Oreochromis niloticus: one gene and its partner. The protein of the gene in region 2 purifies or fractionates together with the protein of the main gene of each other region. This does not show direct contact. Links are inferred from orthologs where the notes say so. Each region holds a gene or a part of one and is shown on either strand. Other genes may lie near its edges.

The links.
Region 1: the proteins of nhsl3 (region 2) and wasf1 purify together in Homo sapiens (affinity purification with mass spectrometry; 3 studies listed by BioGRID and IntAct, with this or other methods). This does not show direct contact. The link is inferred for Oreochromis niloticus from reciprocal best matches to the Homo sapiens genes NHSL3 and WASF1.

Annotation. Positions count from the first base shown.
Region 1 is NC_031980.2:10,623,814-10,627,739, forward strand, and holds the start of wasf1 (wiskott-Aldrich syndrome protein family member 1), read right to left. Parts: upstream 2,266-3,926; 5' UTR 2,168-2,265; intron 2,151-2,167; exon of another isoform or gene 1,782-2,150; intron 1-1,781. Other genes in the region: cdc40 (pre-mRNA-processing factor 17), read left to right, coding at 2,784-2,975, 3,415-3,501.
Region 2 is NC_031985.2:28,095,276-28,099,201, forward strand, and holds the start of nhsl3 (NHS-like protein 3), read left to right. Parts: upstream 1-1,009; 5' UTR 1,010-1,954; coding exon 1,955-2,315; intron 2,316-3,926. UniProt on the Homo sapiens protein: Able to directly activate the TNF-NFkappaB signaling pathway.

The DNA of each region.
Region 1 (3,926 bases), on a different chromosome or scaffold from region 2:
GGTGGAGCTAGGTGGGTATTCACTGATTGTAGCCAAATGTCTTTTTTCCCTAAATTTTTTCCCTGAGCAGAAATATTTCTGATACTGACAAATAAAGCTTGTGTCAAGAAATTTACCAGGCATCTCACTAATGGTTATATATATATATATATATATATATATATATATATATATATATATATATATATATATATATATATATATATATATATATATATCTCCCAGAAGCATTAAAAGTGTTTGATGTGGGCTAATTTGATATAACAGGGAAATATTTAAGGTCATCTGGAAAGAGTCTGTGCATCAACATCTTCTCTATTTGCATTAATTATTAATGCAGCTTCTGATCAAATCAAGGAATTAAGTCTTATTTATGCATTTCACTGAATCACAGCCAAGGCAATGTGAGTGTAGAGAGCTCTGCATTTGTTGATTTGGACAAGATGTCTAGCCTTCTAGGATAAATAGCTTCTTTCTTTTTTTTAACCTCACTATTTATTAGGGGGAAAAAGGAATAATTATTAATTTCCTGCACATCACATGTAAACCCTAGTTTGCCTCGCTCCCGTATTTGTTATTTTAACACATTAGAGGCACACTAATCCACTGTCAGAAGCAGCATCCACAGTGGCATACATGGATTTTTATCAATAGCTCTGCAGCTGATGTTTCTAAAGGTGATTAATTCATCATCGACCACAGAGCTGAACCCACACTGTCACTACAGGCTGTTCTTACCTTTACTATTGCATTTTAAAAAGAGGCAAACCATGAAATATGCTGCTGGCCACTCAGCAGGCAATAGTTACCTGCAGCATCCAAAGACCCAACTCTTAGTTTGTCTCAACTGGACAGGCTGTGGAAAAAATATGCTCACTTTGATGAAGTGCAAAGCCCATATTAGCCGGCCTCCTGTGTATCAAAGCACATATTCGTGCTGTCACTACATATAAAAGCTGATCACTGCACAGCGGTCACAAAGCGACGATGCCCCTCGTGCCCACTTTTCTTGTTGCACTTGAAGTAGTACAAAGAAGGTTTCGGATTTCACACAGCATGATTTTCACTGGGCTGAAGGCTTACCATCCCCCCATGACTGCAAACGAAGCTGGCTGGAATAGACCCCAACCCCTGTCCTCCTCCTCTGCCTCGCAGAGGCAAATCAATGCATTCTTATAAAATTAACTGCCGGTGTCCGTGGTTCCCTTCATCACACTGTAGCAAACTGCCCACTCCACAAGCTCGCTAACAAATAAAACACACTCTACGTCTTTTTATTTATTAGTTTATCCACGTTGGGTTAATTGGGGAGCATTGCAAATATTTGCTCTCTGCTTTTCTCACTAGTGTGATATTCTTCAGACTCACTATGTCAAGACGCTGCAGCGGGATCTCATGCAGATGTGCAGCTGCAAGCTGCAATTTATCACCCAGCGGTCCCATTACCAATTCCTCCTTTAGTCATTCAAAAATAAAAATACTACTGGTAGGCTACTTTGTGGGATTTTGACCACTTTGGTAGCCTAGCGTTGTTCTCATTGCCACATTTGTCAACTGTACATCGGGTAAACGTGGGAGTCAGTGATGGCCAGGCAGTTTTGAATTACCAAGACCGTTATTAGTCGAGCAGCTCCAGTTTAAGTCTAATGTTACAACACGGTGACTCGGTTTTATGACGATAAGTTGCTGCTGTGCTAATAGCGATAACATAACGTTACTAAAGTCCCATTTTGCAGTTAAATGATGCACTGCAGTGCAAAATTTAAAAAGAAATTATTTACCTGATACGTTTGTAAGAAGAAAAAAAACCCCTCTTATTTTCTCTCCATCCTTACTGAGCAGCAGAGTGTGCCACCGTGTCCAAAAATTTAAATCCCCGGGTCGGATCCATGGTTGTACTGTCTCCGTAATCAAATGTACTCCTGCTGGAAGAGGCGGCGGCGGAGATGAATCCAGCCACTTTTTTTCCAAAGGGATTCTCTGGGCAAATGTTGATTAAATTGCCAATAAAGCTAGTCCGGTTAAGCTTACATCAGGTTTCGCGTCATAAAACCACTTTGTATTTTACCCGTATGCGACATTTGTTTTCTTTCTAAGAGAAGTAGTGTGAAATTACGTATATCCACAAGAAAACGTCCCCATTGAAATCGGTAATAATGGTACGTACCACTCTATTGTTGGGGCGCGAGAAAACGTCCCATGCTGCTGATGTGTACTCGTGGGAGGCTCGTGCGCGTTCGCGGTATTGGCTTATTATCTCAAACCGTGGTGTTGTGCTGTCCAATCGATTTCAGGGAGGGACACTGATTTTGATTATTTCAAACATTACAGTTGGAGAGAAAATAAAATCACACTGTGAATCAATATATTCACAACAACACATTAAACAACATACTGACTGTTTATTTTGAAAAACAAAATACTGCCTTGTTAGTATTTCGTCTCATTTTACAAACTGCGGCCATAATTTTGGTAGTTTTGCCTAAAAATGTTAATTGTAATAATTCTAATTCTAGCAAAGTAATACGTATATGAGTAATATTCTAGCCTACTGAAATATCTGTTTTATGAATGTCTTCAAAATATATAAATTAATACATTATTTAATGAATGTAATGAATTAATAATTTTAAGTTAATAATTCCGGTCATACGTATAAGATGCAATGCTATAGCTCTTTAAATTCTTAATTCTAGAGAATAATAAATTATCTATAAATTCTTTCTTCATTTCTATAACGGAAGTACCGCCCTTCTGCTTCCGCCGCATTCACAACATCCAAGATGTCTGCAGCCATAGCTTCCCTCGTTTCATACGGCAGTGATTCCGATTCAGAAAATGAGTCTGAATCTAATACAAGTGTTGAAAAAGTGAACCCAGTCGATCCGGATGCTACGGCTCACCTTAAACCGTTGCAGTCGGAGAACAGTATGTCTCTGGCTGTTTTAAATTCTGCCCCTGAGGTCGCTGTCAAGGTAAGCTAAGCTAAGCAGCTAACGTTAACCTCACTTTATAATTAGATTATTGGGAGTAACTCTGGCTTACTTACTTGTTATGCTCATAATAATAAAGGTTATTCAAATTACTGTGGAAATATGGTGTTGTAATTAGAAGTTATTTATTTTCTAAAATTACAGATTTGTTCTAGTAGTACTAAGCGGGAAAGATTCCGCTAAGTGTGTTGTAATCTTTGGGGAAATTTTATGCAGGCCGGAGAATTACTCCTGAGCTAATTCTAAAAAAATACACACTGATTGATCTCTGTGTAACTTAAGGTCCAACTTCATGTATCTTACACTGTACTAGTTAAATCTCACCTGTGATTGTGTTAAACAAAACATGCGAATTACCAACCTAGAGCATGTCTCATTTATCAAGAAGCTCGTTTGCTCATTGTTCGAATCCCGATTTTAGGAGGCTGTTGAGACGGGCATACACCTGGACCCTGCTCTGAAAGAAGTCACTTATAACCCAACATATGAAACCATGTTTGCACCCGAGGTAAGTCTGAATATTTGTGTGCTGGGTTACACATCTAGTTAGTTAACTGATAATATAACATGAGTGGCATTTGATTACTTTGTTATGCAGTTGTGTGAAATACATATATTTAATTATTTTTAAACGGCACTAAATGATAAAGGTGATACATATATGAGCAACATCACAGAGAAATTAGAAAGTTATTTCAATTATTCATCCTTAAAAGACATTTCATCAGCTGACATAATATTCTAATATGGAAAAGGTAAATTAGTCTTGCCCTTAGAATGTATTATTGTATTATTGTCAGAAATAACTTTAAAAAAATAGTTTGCTGAAAGCCTTGACCATCTTATGTGCAGAATCACTTCAATGCAAGATTTTCGTCTGATTCCTGCCTGTTTCAAAACCCCCTGCAACATTTCAGTTGCACTGCAACCCAA
Region 2 (3,926 bases):
TCTGATTATTCTTTCACAGACTATTTGACCTGCAAACAAGCCCAACAGTCTGGCACTGGTGATTTATGATATTATCTTTAGACTCACAAAGACAAGGCTGTAAAACAACCTCTGATTGTCCCCTAAAAGGCACACCAGTTGATTTAAAAGAGCTGAAGGAAGTAGGCTACTTAGTACTTTACAAGTAAATATTTGGCTTTTTTTCCATCTTTTGAACTGACACCTTGAACTGATTTGTAAACCTGAGTTAGAAAGACTTTAGTGTCCGTTATTTCATCTTTTGCAACTTTCTGTTTTGTTCAGCTTATGCAGTGGAATGGTTTGTTGTGTGCACTGAATCAAAGGCCCTCGCTCCCCCTCTGCCCTCTCCACCAGGACCAGATGGTGTCTCTTTAGGCATTCTAATGAATATTGATATGAGGGGTCTTAGTTAACAACAGGGGGGAGGGTGCATATGTTGGGCCAGAGACCCCCCAAAACTGGCATGTAGTAAAGGTCTGTGGTGAGGGGAGTGGGTGTGCAGGGGATTTATATCTGAAGAAAAGGAACGTTTGCAACTTGCAACAAACCTCCTTTCATATGCCCGTAAGCTCTCTCTTGTCTCATATTGGTAAGATATTAATATGGATTAGACAGTGATGAGACTGAATTAGTTGCCTGGGTGATGTCATCCAGACACTTGAAGATGAGATGCAGAGCAAAGATGTGGTGCAAAGTGTGACATGGCATAAATTTGTAAGACGGCAAGATGACAAAGGTGAGGTGAGCAGGAGCGCAAGGTGAGGAGATGGACAGGTTAATCTGGTGACAGAGTTAATCCTCTGGCACGGCTCCCAGGTTTAAAGCTCCTGAACGCCTCTGTGTATTCCAGCCTCGGCTCACCACACTGAGGCTGAACCACCGCCAGCACCCCGGGCTGGGCAGTCTGACCCCGGGGCACTGGGGTGCAGATTTCTTAGCTCCACTTTTATTTTACCAGTGCCAGGATTCCTGTATGTGGAGGGATAGCAGGTGAATGATTGAAGGTAATTGCATTACTACACTCCAGCTGGTGCAGGCCAGCTGTAGCCCCCTGCTGTGACCCTGTTATTGGGGAAAAACACCCATTCAGGGGGCAAGAGAATCAAAGTGCTGCATCTTCACCAGCAGGAAAGCAATCCCAGGATGCAGTACTGATCGTTTGTTTGGAACCAAATCCACATTAACTGAGTTGTCCTGAAGCCGTGTTATATTTCATACCCTCTGCAGTTTGTCAGGAAACATTAGCAGGAACTCATCCGCAGACAGATGATGAACTGAGGCGCTGTCAGCTATTTATAACTCAAATTAGACTTTGTTAGATATAAGGCTAAAGGGGCAGGCAGGAAGAAGGAAGAACTATAGAAAGATGTAAAGGAGGCGAGATTGGCAGAGACAGGCAGGGGAGTGAGGGTACTGGGAAAAAAGTGATGCAGGGAGACATAAGAGAATAAAACATACAGAACACTGGAACGGCGTAGCTTTTCAGCATGAGGACACAACCTTTACTGTCAAATGCAGCCCCCGTAGCCCTTAGATAATGAGACACAGTGTCAGACACATGCATACTGCTGAAGGCTTCCAGTAGGGATGTAGACGCTTCAAAACTTTAGATTATATCAGTCACCAAGCGGGTAGTTTTAGCTTTTGTATTTGTGATAGTCAATATGGAAACCTACAGTACAAGCTGTAGAGTCTTCAGTAGAATATGCAGAAATTAGCTCTTATATTGGAATATTTTTCATGGGTAGCTTTGTTTTAATTAACACAAGGAAGCTTTAACTGGGTTTGCACTGGTGGAGTGTGTGCACAAAGCTCCGCACGTGTCTATCTATACTGAGTGAAGTGGGGGCTGGTCGCCTCCTGAAAGCCAAACTTTGACAGCCGTCTTGCTGGCGGGAGGGGTTCATCATTTGACAATGGGGAGGGAATAGCAATGGAGGGAGCCTGTGTGTGCAAAATAGACACGAGAGAGAGAGGGAGCAGCGGGGGAAGGGAGGAGGGTATCAGACTCGGGGATAAGGCAGCTGGGCTGAAAGCAGATCTCATTGTGCGCTTGTCCTTCCCAAGTCCCTCCAACTCTCTGCAGAAGCACCTGCGATCACTGCTGTCGAGCTCTGCAGTCGAGGCATGCGGATCTCAATCGCAGGTCAAATTGACAGAAGGACGACTTGTTAGACTCTGTTTTGCTTTACTCTGGCGTTCTGAGTTTGGGTTTTGTTATGGCGCTGGTGTAGGCATGGTTGTCTACTTGAGGAAGAGCATCCACTCTCTGCTGTCCGTCTTCAAGAAGAAGGGTGAGTGCCGGCTCACGTGGAGGCTGCAGTAAATCTCTTTAACTTTGCTGTGATTGATTGTTTAACCAAGCTTTTTATCATACTAAATATACCTGCAAAGCAAGTACTGTTTTTAATTTCCACTGACATCTATCTCAACAGTTCACAAACACAGACACACCGATGTGTAAGAATTAGTGTTGAAGGTAATTTGGAGGTCCTGTCTAATGAGATAAAGCTCTTTACTGACTTTTTTGGGGGGAATCGTATTAATCAGCCCAAATCCCTAAACCTCCTGGAGGGGTCTGGCAGAGTATCAGGGAGGGCTGCTTCTTCGGTTATTTGTAGCTACTGGTTACAGTGTTACATATGTGAGTAATTGTCATGAGATGCTCACAGTTGTCAAGTGAAGTTTATAGACTAAACTAAATGTAGTCCAGACTAATTGGGAGCCAGTGGGAGTGATAAAGGAAGGAAAAGGAACACCTCACGCTGATCCTTGCTCAGCTAAGATTTTAGCAAACTTGCATGACTGATTTCCCATGGAAATGACTTCCCAGTTCATACACAGTTGTGCAGGTTTTCATGGATTTGTGGTTCAGAAACCTAGATGTAGCTGCCATCACTGTGGTTTACACCAAGAAGGCAGGAAGCCCCAATTTTATTCCACATGCCAAAGACATGCATGTTTGGTCAGTTGATTCTATGTTAGCCAAAGGTTTGTATTATTGCTTTTCTCTCTTTTTGTTTTCCTTGTGATGGACTGGCAACCTGTCCAGGGTGCCTCTTACCCAGTGTCAGCTGGGATCAGCTCCTTAGCTGTCCTTTGACGTTGAGCAAAGCAGTCCTGCGGAGAGAGCGAGCTCGGTCCAGTTCCCACACAGGAGGTCCTGCCAGCAGGGTTTCTTGCAGCATCCTTACATGCGGACAGATTATCGGCAGTAATCCCTGCAGGGTTTACAAGGAAGCAAGATACTGCAGGAGATTAGCCAGGCCATAGTTTACTGCCGAGGGCCTGGCCAGACTGGGATGTCTGCACGCCAAAGTTGGATGAGGAGATTTAATAAGTGCGCTGCATTAAAGGTGCACAGATAAACGCACATTCTTATCAGCTGGAAGTGCAAGAAGTTCTCAGTCAAGTTGATAAATGTCTGTATTTATGCTAACACCATTGCTTTCATTGGGATAGTGCAAAGAGTTGATGTCTCACTATTGTTTTAATTCTGAATAATTCTGGATCAATGCTGTTGCCAAAATTCGTAGTTCTGATGTTAAAATATGTGTGAATAAAGGTTCTGTCACACAATAGGGTTCCACAACAAAATGTTCCACTAAAACAAATTGGTAGGTACTCGATATAACTCCAGTTCTGTGAGTGTGTAGCAGGGGCGATTCTAGGATCAGAGCTTTGGGGGTGCTGAGCACCCAGAGAGCTGCCCAGCCAGGCAAGATAAACTTTACACATCACGCTGAGACTTCTTCCCTGTCTCTTTCAGTCCCTGCATCCTTAAATGTCTCCAGTTGTCCCGAGTTCTCTATGACTGTCTCCTTGGTGCATTTAAACCCCTGTTCCTCCCTGTCCTCATCGTATGTTGTCTTCGTCTCCGTTATCAGTCATCAAAATTTTACCAT